Linked DNA regions of Drosophila melanogaster. Changing the gene in region 1 together with any one later gene gives a genetic interaction. Each region holds a gene or a part of one and is shown in the gene's direction. Other genes may lie near its edges.

Evidence for each region. Genes that interact genetically often act in the same process or in processes that back each other up.
Region 2: of bam (region 1) and eIF4E1, changing one suppresses a phenotype caused by changing the other (phenotypic suppression), as found in Drosophila melanogaster (one study listed by BioGRID).
Region 3: of bam (region 1) and CycA, changing one suppresses a phenotype caused by changing the other (phenotypic suppression), as found in Drosophila melanogaster (one study listed by BioGRID).

Annotation. Positions count from the first base shown.
Region 1 is NT_033777.3:25,242,513-25,246,962, reverse strand, and holds bam (bag of marbles), read left to right. Parts: upstream 1-1,853; 5' UTR 1,854-1,986; coding exon 1,987-2,474; intron 2,475-2,538; coding exon 2,539-2,909; intron 2,910-2,970; coding exon 2,971-3,440; 3' UTR 3,441-3,924; downstream 3,925-4,450. Other genes in the region: RpS27 (ribosomal protein S27), read left to right, coding at 296-515, 582-610; CG11854 (uncharacterized protein), read right to left, coding at 3,949-4,253, 4,316-4,450. UniProt on the Drosophila melanogaster protein: Regulatory component of a deubiquitinase complex consisting of bam and otu. The complex deubiquitinates K63-linked polyubiquitinated proteins, antagonizing the ubiquitination activity of Traf6 and regulating the IMD immune signaling pathway.
Region 2 is NT_037436.4:9,399,117-9,404,436, reverse strand, and holds eIF4E1 (eukaryotic translation initiation factor 4E1), read left to right. Parts: upstream 1-1,976; 5' UTR 1,977-2,133; coding exon of another isoform or gene 2,134-2,157; exon of another isoform or gene 2,158-2,520; intron 2,521-2,631; exon of another isoform or gene 2,632-2,780; intron 2,781-2,830; 5' UTR 2,831-3,340; coding exon 3,341-3,397; intron 3,398-3,483; coding exon 3,484-3,854; intron 3,855-3,918; coding exon 3,919-4,018; intron 4,019-4,252; coding exon 4,253-4,340; intron 4,341-4,403; coding exon 4,404-4,567; 3' UTR 4,568-4,819; downstream 4,820-5,320. UniProt on the Drosophila melanogaster protein: Recognizes and binds the 7-methylguanosine (m7G)-containing mRNA cap during an early step in the initiation of protein synthesis and facilitates ribosome binding by inducing the unwinding of the mRNAs secondary structures.
Region 3 is NT_037436.4:11,827,578-11,835,465, reverse strand, and holds the start of CycA (cyclin A), read left to right. Parts: upstream 1-1,887; 5' UTR 1,888-2,397; coding exon 2,398-2,592; intron 2,593-3,219; coding exon 3,220-3,413; intron 3,414-3,483; coding exon 3,484-3,739; intron 3,740-4,621; exon of another isoform or gene 4,622-4,829; coding exon of another isoform or gene 4,830-5,849; intron 5,850-5,905; coding exon of another isoform or gene 5,906-6,031; exon of another isoform or gene 6,032-6,217; intron 6,218-6,276; exon of another isoform or gene 6,277-6,436; intron 6,437-6,781; coding exon 6,782-7,005; intron 7,006-7,073; coding exon 7,074-7,278; intron 7,279-7,348; coding exon 7,349-7,596; intron 7,597-7,660; coding exon 7,661-7,814; 3' UTR 7,815-7,888. Other genes in the region: CG43064 (uncharacterized protein), read left to right, coding at 1-219; CG7264 (uncharacterized protein), read right to left, coding at 4,830-5,849, 5,906-6,031. UniProt on the Drosophila melanogaster protein: Essential for the control of the cell cycle at the G2/M (mitosis) transition. Interacts with the Cdk1 and Cdk2 protein kinases to form MPF. G2/M cyclins accumulate steadily during G2 and are abruptly destroyed at mitosis.

The DNA of each region.
Region 1 (4,450 bases):
CCCAAATGAATTGTTAATTGAGAACTTAAAGATCAAAGTAGTTATACTTTAAAATATATTTTCAAGTATTTAAATTGGTAGAAAGTTACTTCTTCGTTAATTAATAAAGAATTGGTTTTCCTATTGGATCAAAGTTGGACCAACACGTTTGGCGCCAAAGAAATTTCGACTTATAACTAAGATTTAGAGGATTATCTAGGCTTGAAGTAATCCAACACATTTGGCCGTAATCATATAGTATAATATATACATTAAATGAATTTATACTAATTTTGAAACTATTTTCACCTTGCAGCTAGCAAAAGATCTTCTGCACCCTCTGCCCGCCGAGGAGAAGCGCAAGCACAAGCTGAAGCGCCTGGTCCAGCACCCCAACTCGTACTTCATGGACGTGAAGTGCCCCGGCTGCTACAGGATCACCACCGTCTTCAGCCACGCCCAAGGCGTCGTGGTCTGCGCTGGATGCGCTACCATTTTGTGCCAGCCGACTGGAGGACGCGCCAAGCTGACAGAAGGTATGCTCCAAATGCTCACTGTCCAATGTTCCTTCGCAATTAACCCAAACGATGTCTTTCTTTCAGGCTGCTCCTTCCGCAGGAAGCCACAGTAAAATGGGACTCGCGATGAACCACAAATTATTAATTTTTTAATAAAAACTCTAAAACGTAAAGAAACCACAGAACCCATACGAGAGAAAGCTTGTAATTCAATTGCTGCGGTCCTTTGGTTCATTGTGCTTTGTGAATTAAAGAATTAACGATGTTGTGGTCGGCTAAGTGAAAAAAAAAACAGTTCTTGTCGTATTTGTTTATAGAAAGTGGATAATTGCCAACAGGATAGATAGTGGAGCTCAATCGCTGGGGTTCCCCGATAAGAAACCGCCCATAATGGAAGCTCTTGTGTGTGCAAATACCCTTGTGCGGCAAAACTTCAGGAATTTTTCACTAGTTATGCTTAGATCTAACCATTGATTAACTTCACAACAATAAAGAATGTTTCATAGGCTCTAAATCGAGATTTTGTGAGGCTTCTAATGATTGGGCATTCAGCATTTTTTCAAGAATTTTGTAACCGACTCAAAAAATCTTTAGAATGGTTGGTTATTCGGATCGCATATACTTAGCTTGTTTGTCTTATTTTTATTTGGATGAGCGCCAAAATTTTGCTGCGTCAGTCTGGAAAAAATTGAATCAAATGTGTATAGTTTTATAGAAGTTGGGAAGCGGAATTTATTTATTTATTTAAATATTTATAATTAAAAAAATGAAAATAGTCACGTTGTTTAACTAGTCAGTATTCGAACCAACAAATGTAAAATGTATACTGGTTTGTGTCTAAGCTAAGCTTGTCATATTAACGGAGCTGCCAGATGTTAGGAAGTGGGGATGCCATACATTATTCTAAATTTGCGCGCAATTTTAGAAGCTTATCGTCGTCAGAATTACAAAAACAAATTGAATATGAAAATGGGTTATTGCTACTTCATTATTATTGTCACGATATATGATAATTTATACAAAATGTGATAAATCCCAAATTGTTAAATAATGCTTTGGCTTGCTTTATACAAAACCACTAGATAATTAAAATATAGGTGGCCTAAATTGTTGCATGTTGTTTTATAATTAATCAGCAATTTGATTTGGTTGTGATCGACCAAATCAGTGTGTATAATTGTAGTTAAAATGTAAAGTTCGTAATGGATTATTGAATCGCATTTCAAATTTCTTTAAATGCGCCCGGGTCAATGACCTTTTGAGGTGACCATAAATTGAAACTTATTTGTGCGACGGCAACCCTGTTCTGGGACTCGACATGATATCGATACGTTAACAACAAAGAGTCTGGACGCCATCATTCTTCCTCTTTCTCCTGAATTCGCAGACAGCGTGGCGTCAGGCATTTCAAACGGTAAAAAGAACCTGGCGATAAGGAAAGATTTAAAAGGCAAAAATCGAGTGATTTGTGTGATTTAACTTAAGAATAATGCTTAATGCACGTGACGTGTGTCCTGAGGGCAACGACGACCAGCAGTTGGACCACAATTTTAAGCAGATGGAGGAGCATTTGGCCTTAATGGTGGAAGGCAATGAAAACGAAGATCCGAGGAAAGCCACTTGTGAGTACGAGGATACGAACGAAGATGGTGCAACCTGCACATCGGGCGTTTTATCCGAAATCCAGGAGAACTTCGGTAGACTCCGGTTGTGTGACGTTACTGCACCACTCCTCGAATTCCACGGTTTGGATTGCTTGCAACAGATTCAAAAGCGCTCGCGCCATTTTGCATTCGACGGTTCTCCGGCCAAGAAGTCGCGATCCGGAGGCGTGTTGGTCACCGGGCCAAAGCAGAAGCAACTGCAGAAGGAAAATGTGTGGAACCGGAAGAGTAAAGGCTCTGCGTCCGCGGATAATATTGAGAAACTGCCCATAACTATTGAGAAACTGCATATGATTGGTCTGCACGGCGATTGGTGAGTCTTCTGGAGTATATCCCAAATATATCACATAATAAAAAGCTCCTTATCTAAACAATAGCTTAGAGCACAACGCCGTGCTGCGTTTGATGAATCTGTTCAGATCCCTGCATGATCACCTGACCGCCGATTTGGGCTTCTCGCGCCAAAACTCAATGCCCTCGGACTATCTGTTCGATATGCCGGTGAAGAGCACGATGCCTAAGAGCTTGAATGTGCGCTACCAACTGCAGGTGCTGTGCACCAAAGTAGAGCGCTTCCTTGTCCAGCAGCGCCGCACCTTGGAGGCGAATCGCCACTTCGATTTCGAGAAATACGACGAGTGTGACAAGTTGCTTAAGGGTTTCGCATCCTATTTGGACAACTTCAAACTGCTTTTAAAGCCCAAAATGCGCAATCGAAACGGAAACTCGGGGAGCAATGCGGACAAGTGTAAGCTGTAGATTTGCAAGCAACCATTCAGCTATTCCTGCAACGATTTTATTATTTACAGTCCATACTCAGCGCATGGAGAGATTGCTAATTGGTCTGCGCGATTGGATCAAGGCTGCGCATCTCAGTGTGCACGTATTTAACTGGGAAATGGATCTGGAGCACCGCTACTCCGGGGCCATGACCGAAAGCCACAAGTCGTTGAACGAGCGGGCCATCCTTTTGTCCGGTGCCGAGCTAAGGGCGGCCGAAGCGCGTGGAATCAGTGCGGAGGATCTGTTCATCGCCCAGAGATACAAACTGGGAGGTCCGATCTATTGCGTTCTGGAGCAGCATGAGTTCCTCTCCGCTCTGATCGCCAATCCAGAGACCTATTTCCCGCCCAGTGTTGTCGCCATTTGCGGGCCACAGAAGCTTGGCGCAGTGAGCATGGAGCAGCCGTCAGCGTCGGAGGAGGAGTTTGAGGAGACCGAGGAAGTGCCATCATCGCCACCTCGTCACACCGGACGTGTACCTCGCTTCAGAAGCTAAACTAATGCTGTGCACATCGATAAAAGAATGACAGCAAATATGCAATTTAAAAAAGCTACTCTTCTCATGGGAAGCAATAATTTCGTAAAGTAAACATATCTATAGTGTAAGATATATTTGTCCAATAGTGCGGACTCCATATTTGTATTCGTGAATAAGCTTATATAAGCTTTTTAAAAATATTTATCAAATCGATACAAACAAAATCAAAATGAAAACGATTTATTACCCCTGTTTTGAGATTGATAACAAATTTATATAAGTTTAACTGTGTTTACATTTATTTGGCAAAACTACAAATGTGTTTGCTTTTCACTTTTATAAATCTGTATTTTACTTAAACTTTAGAAATAAGAAATCCTTTAGTGCCTGAATTTATTTTGCAACTACGTTTTATTTGTATGAGGAACTTACCAGTTTTTCTTATTTGCTTTGCATTTGTATTTTGAAAGTCAAATAAATATTTACGATTTGTGTTTGGACTAATTAGGGTGTTTGTACTAAGGTCTTAGACTACAAAGAGCTGTTCGAGCGGCAGTTTGCCAAAGATCCTGTCCACCACCGACTTGGCTATCAGTCCGAAGGCCTCGCCAATGCCCGGTTTCAGTTCATTGAAGATGTCCTTCCAGTTCTCATTGATAAGCGCGTGCATGTTCTCGCTGAGATCTTTCTGGCCGTTGAACAGATTTTCCAGCTGGTAGGTCACATGGGATGGATCCAGCTCAACCTTTATGTTCATCACCTCGGCGTAGGTTTGATGATCGCCCTTGGAGACGCGCTTCAATTTGATCTGTGCACGTACCTTTGTTCTAGCTGCGAATTCCAGAAACACATTAAAAATTTTAGATTTCAAAGCTGTGGGAGGCAAATCTTACTGAGGCGTATGTCAGCAATGCCATTTCCGGTGATGGGCAGAATGAGTATTCTTCCGTCCACCGAGTAGGGTCCTCTGACTCCTATTTCTGGAACTTCCATGACCAGCTCGATGGAGCGGCTGAGATCCCTTGTGA
Region 2 (5,320 bases), on another chromosome or scaffold:
CCCATCTATTGTTGACTGCCACAGAACCCTTTTCGAAACGATTCAAGTGGCATTTTCAGCGCTCGTTGGCTGTCAGTTTCGAGTATCTTAAAGATACTTTTTTGACCAATCGGAATTCATTGGTTCAGTAAGCATATTCGGCGACTGGGTGTCTGAAATCTGGTTTCGATCATCTTATCTTGATGGTATAACTAGCATTTAGATACCCATTTTTCTTCATAATTCTTAATTTTATTTGTTGCATAATTTATGAAAATAGTACGAAAAAGTACAATTTTTTATACAGGTTCTGTATAAGTTACAAGGTACCCATTAGTCGAAACCTTATTTATCGAACTTTATAACCTAACCACTTGACTATGATTTATTTACAATTAAGCATCTTTGAGCGCTTCAATTACTTTTTACTTCCAATTAATGCAAAGTATACTGCCTAAGGTTTAACTTTGACTCCGGGTTTCCTGTAGATCGGCGGAAGTTTTTTTGTTTAGACATGCGCCAAGCACTTGAAGTCCGCAATTGACTGCTGCATAATTAGATGCGATGCGATTGGAATAGAGGATGCGATGGGTAATCACATCAACACTTGGACAGGCGATCAAGTGTCAGTTCAATAAGACCGGCTCAAGTGTAATTAGAGACCACGGATCTTGGGTTTCGGGAAGGGATCTTGGGTTTTCGGATCATCGATCCAACGATCGTGCCGAGCTCTTGAAAGCCGCTTATTAGGCATTTACAAGGGCAACTGCGCAGTTGATCGGTTACAAAATGACTTAACTATTTAAATAATAAACACGCTTCACGTTTCTCAGGCTAAGTTCGTAAGCATCTTCAATTTTCGGATTGCGTCTCAACTGCAACAGTCTATTTTGAAAGTCAAGCGTTTCTAAAAGCGCCACATCATCAGCGGTAATATTATCCATCCCTCATAAATATTCCCATGTTGTTTTGGGATCTTTTGGCTATTTTTAAAGCAGACAAAGGCGAGCCAATAATGTGTGGAAAGAATTTTGGTTGGATTCAAATACGAAGCAGCTTTGGTAACAACTAAGGTTCTGGGTTAGTCATGATTCACCAACAGGTTAGACTTAGTTTTGTGGCAAAATTTAACCAATGACGTCCAAGTTCTAACTAAAGTAATATCGTTACTTTGTTATTTTATTTTTGGATATTCTCGAAAGTTTCTGGAATTCTCAAGAAAACTTAAACAATATAGAGTCGCATTATATGGAAAACTCATTGATTCATTCTTATGTTTGTTATTTTGTTATTAAATTCCAATTGATGATGCCAGTGTCTAAATAAAAACGAAGACCTAATTTTCAACCAAAAATCAGGTTTTCTGGGCTTGTCCGTATTAAACATTTTTGATAATTATTTATAATATATTGTTATTTTTTGCTGGCTTCAAAACATCAACAAATTGTGTATGATAAATGACGATGACGTTGTTGTTGATGGCGATCGCGCTGTGGGAATCAGATGAAATGTCAATTAAGTTTGCATTTATATCTTTGATTGAAGCTCTAAGATTTGCTTTGCCATTTTATGCGGAAGTTAAGCTCGGTCAGTTCTTGAAAAAGTTCCCATGGGAGCAAGTTATTTGTTTTTTGACAATAAGAAGCGTTTATTTAAAATGGCTTATTATGGCCTCAATGATTCCTAATAGGCGTAACTTACTGGTTATAAACTTGTTTAATATCGTTTCATTTTAAACCTGGATGACAGAAAATGAATTTCGGTTCAAATACAAATATTACAATAGAAAGTATGATATTTAGCTCCGATAAACATTTAACAATTTTAGTATTTTAATGGTGAAATGGTAAATTCCGCGCATGAAAAGAGATAGAAGAGATGACATATATGGAAACCTTAAAAACGTAACGGTTGCTTGGGTTTTATAACAATCAGTCAGTGACAGGCATTTCCAGAGTTGCCCTGTTCAACAATCGATAGCTGCCTTCGGTCGCTCGTCACTAACTTTCCTTTAGGCAACGGCCACACTGTCTGGCCACCAAAATCCCAAACTTAATTAAAGAATTAAATAATTCGAATAATAATTAAGCCCAGTAACCTACGCAGCTTGAGTGCGTAACCGATATCTAGTATACATTTCGATACATCGAAATCATGGTAGTGTTGGAGACGGAGAAGGTAAGGCGAGAAACGGCGAGCCGCATGGTTTCGATTTCGGCTGAGCCGTGGCAGGAACAACAAAAACAGGGTTGTTGCACAAGAGGGGAGGCGATAGTCGAGCGGAAAAGTGTGCAGTTGGCGTGGCTACATCATCATTGTGTTCACCGATTATTTTTTGCACAATTGCTTAATATTAATTGTACTTGCACGCTATTGTCTACGTCATAGCTATCGCTATCTCTGTCTGTCTCTATCAAGCTATCTCTCTTTCGCGGTCACTCGTTCTCTTTTTCTCTCCTTTCGCATTTGCATACGCATACCACACGTTTTCAGTGTTCTCGCTCTCTCTCTCTTGTCAAGACATCGCGCGCGTGTGTGTGGGTGTGTTCTTCTTTAGCTACATATACATAAATAGGAGAGCGGAGAGACAAATATGGAAAGAATGGAAAAAGAGTGAATTACTGCAATTAACCAGTCGCGAACAGTTAAATCATATTTTTGTCGGCCATTGCAGTAAATAAACCGTTGGCTTTCCCTCTTCACTTTCCACCTCCTTTCTTTGACGTTAATTTTTTTCAGTTAATCGCGCCGCTGCTTTGAACTCGAACACGAATTTTAGCCGCAACATAAAATAAAATCAAGTAACTCTTTTAACTCAAATATAAAACAACAATTCCAATTCTTTCAACAGGCAATCTGTGTTTTTATGTCAGATACGTGCGCGTGTGTGTGTGTGCTGTAATTCCATCGCCCCTTTCGATTCCGAGTTCGTTAGGAACAGCATTAGTTCGCCTATTTTAGTAGTAGCCTAGTCCGATTTTAAGTGAAACAGGATACTCCAACACCATATACTCAATAATTAGTTACAACACCCACTCAACCATACAGCAACAACAAGTTTAACGAGTTTTTTGTATTATCATTACTTAGTTTTTTGGTTAATAATACACAAGTGAAGAGCGAACTGCAGGGGAGCGAGATATCACGAAACAATCCAAAATCCACACACACTCAAACAGAAATCAAAAGCTTCGCTCTCTCGCACACACACGCACCAACCAACTATCAACTATCACAAACACCGCGACAGAGAGAGAGCGGCAAGTGAATCACGGCGAATCGAAACCGATCCGAACCCACTCCGGAGCCGAAAAAGAACTGATCCTACCATCAAACGCATCCAATAAACACGGCCGCCAACATGCAGAGCGACTTTCACAGAATGAAGAACTTTGCCAATCCCAAGTCCATGTTCAAAGTAATACTCTCAGTGCGCCTGTCGCTAAGCCAAGCTAATCTAATCTTCTGATTCCCCTTCCCATCCATTGCCATCTTCTCCCGCAGACCAGCGCCCCCAGCACCGAGCAGGGTCGTCCGGAACCACCAACTTCGGCTGCAGCGCCCGCCGAGGCTAAGGATGTCAAGCCCAAGGAGGACCCACAGGAGACTGGTGAACCAGCAGGCAACACTGCAACCACTACTGCTCCTGCCGGCGACGATGCTGTGCGCACCGAGCATTTATACAAACACCCGCTCATGAATGTCTGGACGCTGTGGTACCTTGAAAACGATCGGTCCAAGTCCTGGGAGGACATGCAAAACGAGATCACCAGCTTCGATACCGTCGAGGACTTCTGGAGCCTATACAACCACATCAAGCCCCCATCAGAGATCAAGCTGGGTAGTGACTACTCGCTATTCAAGAAGAACATTCGGTGGGTTTGCTGTTTATTGCAATTCTGCCAAGATAACCTTTACTAACTGATATCTCATTTGCAGTCCCATGTGGGAGGATGCAGCCAACAAACAGGGCGGTCGTTGGGTCATTACCCTTAACAAAAGCTCCAAGACCGATCTGGATAACCTATGGCTCGATGTGGTAAGTGCACAAAGAAACGAGTGGTGAGCGGATGGTCTATTTATAGTGAATGTACATTCTTGAAATGCAAAAATATAGAAATAGGTGTATGATTTTGCAATATAAATTATAACTTATAGAAAATATCAGCTAAAAATACGCTAGTGCTAGCTTTTGTCTTAGGAACATTCAATAGTGAGCTTATATCATAAATATTTTTCGCATATGAGTAACTACAACTGTTTTGCCTTCCAGCTGCTCTGCCTGATTGGTGAGGCCTTCGATCACTCTGATCAGATCTGCGGCGCTGTTATAAACATTCGCGGCAAGAGCAACAAGATATGTAAGTTTTCACGCACACCCAACTTCAGCGGAATTCCTTTGTTTAACGATTAATGCTTTCCAGCCATCTGGACTGCCGACGGAAACAACGAGGAAGCTGCCCTTGAGATTGGTCACAAGCTGCGCGATGCCCTGCGTCTGGGACGCAACAACTCGCTGCAGTATCAGTTGCACAAGGACACGATGGTCAAGCAGGGCTCCAACGTGAAATCGATCTACACTTTGTAGGCGGCTAATAACTGGCCGCTCCTTATTCGGTCCGATCCCACACTGATTATTTTGTCTTTCATTTATTTATCGTTATAAGCAACAGTAGCGATTAATCGTGACTATTGTCTAAGACCCGCGTAACGAAACCGAAACGGAACCCCCTTTGTTATCAAAAATCGGCATAATATAAAATCTATCCGCTTTTTGTAGTCACTGTCAATAATGGATTAGACGGAAAAGTATATTAATAAAAACCTACATTAAAACCGGATACTTTTGATCTTTGATTTTGGAGATATTTTAAAATAGAAAAAAGTTAACCTATATTGTTTTTGGGATAATTACTTGTTGTATTACTAAAACGAGCTTGTATCCTAATATGGGCACCTAAAGCAAAACTTCCAAATTTGGAATTCAATTTGTTGCTAAAAATACGTTAGCAATTTCTAGGGTGGCCAAAAAAAAATGTGTATCGATATATCGATAGGTTTCCTAAATAGACATTAAAATAATTTTAGCTTTTTACTTATATTGTTAGAGTAAATACGTTTGTATTTAAAAAATAAGTCAGTATTTTTTTTTTATTAACCTATTATTGAATTTTATATGAGTGAGAGCTTTTCCATTCAGCCAAGAACGGTCACACTGCATGTGACATGTTTCAATTGTGTAGGCGCAGTCACACTGGTCGCGTCGCTCGTAGATATCGTGTAAGGATATGTCTCCGTGTTTAGCTAAATAAAATACATAAAATATATGTGCAATTCTAAC
Region 3 (7,888 bases), on another chromosome or scaffold:
GTACTTAGTGTCCGGTTTGCCAGGGAAATCACCTTTGAATTTGTGTTAAAAGCTTTAAGTTTGTACAGTCACAGAAAAATTAAAATCTATTTGCACGAATCATCTGTTGATTGGAGCCTTAATCTTCCGGTTCCGAAGGGCAAGAGGAACATTCAGTTCATTAACGGCTATTTAAAGAGTCCCATATTGATGAACAAAGATACTAATGAATTAGATTAATTACAAACGAACAGCATTTTTTGTTAGTTAATAAAAAAACGTTTGACTTTCGCCAAATATTGCCTTACTATATTGGTAATTATTATTTGACCCTGTAAGGTATTTTATGTATATTTCCAGAGCTGCTGGGGCCAACGATATTATACAATTGTGTAACTGCTAGTCGGTTGTCCTGCTACCTGGTCTCCAGGACATCGAGATCGCAAAGGTCAGCATTTGTGTGCAGGATCAGAATGTTGGTTAGCTCATTGTGTTCGTACTTCTTTGGGTTCCTAACTGATTTAGTTTTTAGGCCGGCAGTTGCGAAATGTCTCGTGCAAAACAATGCAAAATCCGATACACCTTTTCTTTATTTTCTTAGGGAGGCGCAGCTGCTCTAGAAAACATACTCTTCCGTTCACAAAATAATCGTGGCAAGAGTCATACATACATACATGTATGTACAATGCTGAATTAAGTCAAAAACAATACATATTTAATAGTTATGACAAATATTTAAGCCACCACGTTATGTTGTTATATTCTTAAACTTAAAAGGGTTAAGAAATCAGGATACATATTTTTTAAGAAGATTAGAAATCAAAACAATTACCATAACTGTTAACAAATTCACCTATTATTTATTATAATGAATGTTATATTTGTATTTTCTATAAATATCTCACAGCCCCTCCCATTAGAAATTCATAGGGAAGACGTATGGCGTATTTCGTTATATCTTTCTAATCGTGAAAGTCATCCGAATTGATAAATATATATACTTTTGTATTTACACTAACATATTTTTTATAAATGGGTAGCATCGTTAGGCGTATTGAAAAGAAAAAGTTTCGCTTAACTTTTTTTGGGTTTTCCACTGACAGCCAAATAATAATAATCGCAGTAGCCGAAATAAAGCTCTTTAAAAAGTTAATTAGAGAGTTGCTGCTCTTAAATTTAACGCGGTGGTTGTTGTTAATTGTGTACTTTCTGTTGCATGCAGTTCATAATTTGTTCAAAACTTCGAGCGGCCACTTTGTTTGAAAGGACTTTCGAAAAGGGGAAAAGTTTTTTTTCCTGTTTCGATTTATTTCTGGGACAGAAACGATTTTTGGAGCCACTCGAGACCGAAAGTCCAAAAGCCTAGCCATTTTTTTTAATTGTAACCTAAACATTTTTCCAAGTGTCCTAATACGTCGATTATTTAAACATTTCATCAAAAACATTACGCTTTCTATTTAATTATATTTTGATAAACAGTTGTTTAATTGATTTTTGTCAAGTTCGCTTTGCAGTGAATTCTTAATCTTAATCAAAGCAACAGTAATAACAACTTAAGCGATTACCGTGGACATAATATATGGATTATATATATGGATATAATACATATATATTCGATTAACTTCAAAACAATGCTTACAAACCCATGAAGAACTTATTCCAAACCCTTTTTATAAACCTTTAATATGTATTATTGGTTTGATCTCTAAAGCTTAGAACTAAATAAATATGCACTCATTTTTAAAAACTATGCAAAAACAATGGACTTCGGCAAAAATAAAAATTAACGTTATACACATTTTTAAATTTTGCGCACTGCTGGAGTTGCCAGTCCTAAAAAACAAACTTCTGACATATATGGCCACACTGTCGGCAAATGTCGATAGACGCCACGACCTATCGATAGCTGGACAGTGTCATCTCTAACATTTACGACGTGTTGACCGGGAAAAAATCAAAAGAAGCCAGCAATTGCTTTTAAACCACGAACCGCTGAACAAGTACGGAGTTTGTAAAATACTTAATATTAGCTAAGTCCGTGCGAGCGTAGCCAAACAAGGAAACTAATTCCAACGCTGCCGTGACACAAACTTCCGTACGAAATTGAAAGTCAAATGAATTCTGTACAAAACTGTGTGTGTGCGTGTAATTCAAGCGTCAATTTGTCGATGATAAAATTTGCCTGCGCCTAATGTACACATGTCTGCGTCTTCGTTGAGCATATGAGCCTGTGAATGTGTGCGTATCGGTGTGAGCGTCGAGCATAAGAAAGCAGCACAAAACAACAACAACGGCAGCAGCAGTAACAACAACAGCAAGAAGGCAACGACGCTAAGAGAAAGAGAGAAGGAAGGGAAGAGCAGAGCATAATCGGACTCCATTTTACAAGGCGAAAAAAGGAGTAGGAAAGAGCGCACCATGGCCAGTTTCCAGATCCACCAAGACATGAGCAACAAGGAGAATCCGGGCATTAAGATTCCGGCCGGAGTGAAGAACACCAAGCAGCCGCTGGCCGTAATTGGGGGAAAAGCGGAGAAAAATGCGCTTGCGCCGCGGGCCAATTTCGCCGTGCTCAATGGCAACAACAATGTGCCGCGTCCGGCCGGGAAAGTTGTAAGTACCGTTGCCGATTTCCCGTACATCCAGTGCCTAATTCCAATGCAGCTGCCTTTTTATATTTTTATGGTGGTGGGATCGTCACACCACTGCGACCGTGCGCATGTGTGAGATCTCCTAGTGGTGGTGGTGGTTTTCTCTCCCTTACCTCTCCCCTACCATCCCATCCTTTTCACTTCTCCATCTTACGTTACTCTCTTCTTAGAACGACCAATGCACTTACTTGCGCCTAACCTAGAACCTTAACTAACCTAGAAAAAGACACAGGCCTTGCAATTACGCGCCTTTTTGATGATTTGCAACAACAAAGCGAAGCAAGGAGGGCAAAAGCAATTGCGACATGCAACGCACACATGCGTATAGGTGCACACATACACACACACACGAGCAATACGGGAAGCCAGGGAAAGGCGCGCAACTTAAAGTTGGATCGATTTATGGGGGGGGATAATCATTTTATTTCTTTTTTGCTTACTATATTAAGGATGCATATGTAAAAGGAATTATCTTTGTGTTTTTACTTTTATAATCCCACTGCAATATTACCTAATATAAAATTATTACCTAATATAGTAAGTTGACCATATTGTTGAATTTGTCTTCTTCGTCTTCTGTTCCTTCCAGCAGGTCTTCCGTGACGTCAGAAATCTTAATGTTGATGAGAATGTGGAGTACGGCGCCAAGAAATCGAATGTGGTGCCCGTGGTGGAGCAATTCAAGACCTTCTCCGTGTATGAGGACAACAACGATACCCAGGTTGCGCCATCCGGCAAATCCCTGGCCTCCCTAGTCGACAAAGAGAACCATGACGTGAAATTGTAAGTTTCCATCTGTCACTTGGTAAGCCGCAAACAAACTTTTGTTTGTTTTTTTTTTCACTCCATTCAGCGGTGCTGGGCAGAAGGAGCTGGTAGACTACGATCTGGATTCAACACCCATGTCCGTGACGGATGTTCAGTCCCCCATGTCCGTGGACCGCTCCATTCTCGGTGTCATACAGTCCAGTGATATCAGCGTGGGCACTGAAACGGGAGTCTCGCCAACTGGAAGAGTCAAGGAGCTTCCGCCGCGCAACGATCGCCAGCGGTTCCTGGAAGTGGTTCAGTACCAGATGGACATTCTGGAATATTTCCGGGAGAGCGAGGTAAGCTAAACCAGGGACATAAACATAGGCTTCAATATGATATTATTAGATGACTTCCTCACAAAAATATTTCAAACTCACAAACTCGCTTTCATCGCGTAATCATTGTCAAAGACAATGATATTTTTTAACTAGTAACTGAAGTGGACAACTTTTATCAGGTCGAGTTTTCCTTGATTATCTTCCAGGGTATTGCAGTCATGTTTTCTGGCATAAATTTGGAATTTTTTCCCAAGGTATCTTGCGTTTTCAATGTGTTACTACTTACTTGGCCATGTGCATTGTACTTTTCTGTGCAGACGCAGGCAGACGTAATTTCTTAGGGGAAGTCGGACCCTGTCGCACCCTCCGTTGGCATTCCCTTCACGCAACGCTGCCTCTTTATGGGTTCATGGGTACACTTATTCCCGCTCGCGGGCACATGTTTGTTGGGCGGGAAGCGAAACGCTTGTCTGTCTGCGTCCGTCTCATCCTTTGTCGTTGTTGTTGACTCTCTTTTTCTCATTCGTCCAAAGTCGTAGAACACTCGGGGTACCAATGGAATTCGACTTGCAGAGGGAGGTTGACTACTATTGTAGTTTGTTTCCTACGTTAGTAAATAAAAGATTAAAAATTAAAATAAGTTTAAAAACTAAAAAAAAAATTAAAACCAAAAAAGTTTTAAAATTGATAAAGAATTTAAAAAACTAGAAAACCAAAACAAATAAAAAAAATTTAAAAATATTTTAAAATCGATAGTTAAATTACAAAACTCGAAAACAACATTAAATAATACAAAACAACAACACAAGGATTAGGTTTTGTCCAGAATGGGCGTATTCTTTATTTTCCCTTGATATTTCAGTTTTTACTAGAGATGGGTTTTTGTCTTTTTTTTTTTTTAAATTTTTAAATATTTGAAATGCTTTGTTTCCAACATGAACATTATAATTTCGTCGTGAAGATTCCCAACAAAGATTGTATTTTTAAAATAGTACAATGTTCTGGACGCCTATGGAAAGTTGCTGCACAAGAAAGTGAGGCAGCTTTCTAATCGCATCCAGCTCATTATTCTCGAATCGTCTTGGTTGGGAACTTCAATACAATCCCACTAACGTGAGTTCTTGTTGAACTGATCGTAAAAGTCATCGGAGACGGCATTGGTTAGGCCCACAAGGGCTTCCTTGCGCTGGCGATCCTGCTCCACGGCCAACTTGGAATTCGCCCGCATCAGCTCATCGAATTCCGCCTTACGTCGGCGATCATCCTCGATTTGGTGAAGGACCAGGGTGCGGTCCATATTAATGGAGTATTGCTCCCACTGTTTGTCCATCATCTGGGCCTCCGTCTTGCGCTGAATAGACAAACGAAGCTGCTGATCTTGTCCAAGACGAAACACGCGAAGTTCTTCGGGCGTCATGCCGCGATACATGAAGGCAATCTTCTTGTTCGGATCGGTGCGCGATTGAGCCACATCCGGATTTTCAGTTAGCATATCGCTGGAGAGCATGTTATAGATCTCGGCCATGTCATCCTCGTACTTTTCACGCTTTTCCCTTTCGCGGTCCAATTGCTTCTGCTTGGCCATGTTGATATTGAACTGACGCACTCGCTGGATGACTTGGTTGCGCATCTGGTGATCAGACTTGGCCATCTCCTGCAGATGCTTGTCTCTGCAACCAACGTTGTCCATCAACACATTATCGGCCTGCTTGCGAGCATCCTCCGCCCTCTTACGCTCCTGCACTTGCTGATCCAGCCAGGCTCTTTGCTGCTCCCGCTGCCGCTGCTTTCTGTCAGAGTTATAGAGGTCCTCGCCTTGAAAGATCTGGGCACTGGACACGCCCAGCGAAATGTCATTGTCGGCGACTCTTGTTGGACGTGCCTTCTTCAAGAAATTCGGATCATTTAGGTCGAATTCGCGGCGCTGCTCCTTGCGCTGATAGCGGCAGCGATAATAGTTAAGATCCGAGTCCACCACACGCTGTTTTTTCTCCAACTCCATTTCCTGGGCCAGGATCAGACGCTTCTGCAGCTGCTCCTGTTCTTCAAATTTCTTGTCGCACTCCATCTGGGCGGTTCGCTGCTTCTTTTTCTCAAGTATTTGGCGATCCAGCATTTCTAGGTCGAGCTGTGAATAGGAATATTCGGCAATGAAGCTCACCCAGTCTGCAGATGCATACTTACCCCGTAAAGACGCTGTTTGGCATTAAAAATGCGCCGCTTCCGCTCATCTTCGTACTGCTCCCGCTTCTGCAGCTTCATCGCCTCGTCGAGATCCTGCTTGGTGCATATACCGATTTTGAGCGTCATTGTGCCGGAGTTAGTTATAAAAGATGTTCAACTGTATTCGAGGTCGATATGTCTGTCTCTTCTTGTTAGTAGGATGTGGATATATGCCTGAGTTGACTTTGTTTGCCCGGTTGCTGGGTGCTTTGTTTATTGTTTGCCTCTACTACTACCTCTGTAACCTACTAGTTACAGACTATTTACATATATCTATAATAATTTCATGGGAGTTAACTGCCTTAATATAAAACAAATGCTGATGTATGTACATATATTCATGTCAATCGAATTCTTTAATTTTTGCAGCTCGAGTCGCTTGACGGTTCCAATAATCGTTAAAGCGACCATAAAATAATCACCTAATGTACATATTGCCCATATATATGTACATATATGTAGGTGTTTGGCAAAGAAATTTAAGTTCGAACTGGGAATTTCGATGCGACTCACGTACTACGAAATAACCAATAAATAAATAAAAATCGGTTAACTCCCTCCCCCAGCTGTTGTTTGCCACTTCTCCTATGGTATTTATACGCTTGATTTGATGACTGTACGGCTTTTTCTCCCGTGAAATTTGTACATTTTTGACACCTTCTTAAGATGAAACTGGGAACGGGTAGTTGGTTGCCAGATTAGAGTGTAGAAAAGGCATAAGCTATATATATGCGAATCCTAACCTAAAGTATTAAAAGTTTGGCTTAGTAATTTTTGTTAGGCCGGGTAATCTAATCGGTTTCTAATCATTTGTTTGCATGTGTTTGCATCTTCCAGAAGAAACATCGCCCCAAGCCACTCTATATGCGCAGACAGAAGGACATTAGCCACAATATGCGCTCCATCCTTATTGATTGGCTGGTTGAGGTTTCCGAGGAGTACAAACTGGACACGGAGACGCTCTATCTCTCGGTCTTTTATCTAGATCGATTTTTGAGCCAAATGGCGGTGGTGCGCTCCAAGTTACAGCTGGTGGGCACGGCAGCTATGTATATTGCCGCGTAAGTATTCTTGATAGTCCGGTAATAATGGTGTGTGTATTCATGGGGTTTATTTTTTTATTTTTCAGAAAATACGAGGAAATCTATCCCCCAGAGGTCGGTGAGTTTGTCTTCCTCACCGACGACAGTTACACCAAGGCGCAGGTGCTACGCATGGAGCAGGTTATCTTGAAGATTCTCTCCTTCGATCTGTGCACACCGACTGCTTACGTCTTCATCAACACCTATGCTGTACTTTGCGACATGCCTGAGAAGCTGAAGTACATGACGCTGGTAAGCTATTGCCAATACAAAAGAAAAAAGAAACAAAGCCGAAACTTAACTTAATGTTTACCTGACACAGTATATTTCCGAGTTGTCGCTCATGGAGGGAGAAACGTACTTGCAATATTTGCCATCACTTATGTCATCCGCTTCAGTCGCACTGGCGCGTCACATTTTGGGCATGGAGATGTGGACGCCAAGGCTGGAGGAGATCACGACTTACAAGCTGGAGGACCTAAAAACGGTTGTGTTGCATCTGTGTCACACCCACAAAACGGCAAAGGAGCTCAACACGCAGGCCATGCGGGAAAAGTACAATAGAGACACGTAAGTCGCAAACACTAGATAGCCGAAGAATGAGCCCGTGTTGACCAAATGTATTTCTTAACAGTTACAAGAAGGTGGCTATGATGGAATCCGTTGAGATGAGCAAGGACGACTTCGATCAGCTCTGTGAGGCTTACAATTGCAAGCAGAAAGAGGATGAGCACCAGCAGCCGGATATTAATACTAAATCGAACGTGAATTTGTTTTATAAGTTTTAAGTGTTTTGAGCCGCTGTCATGGCCAAATTGTATATTAGTTTAGTGTTTCCATGTAACATTATGTAGTTTTAGTT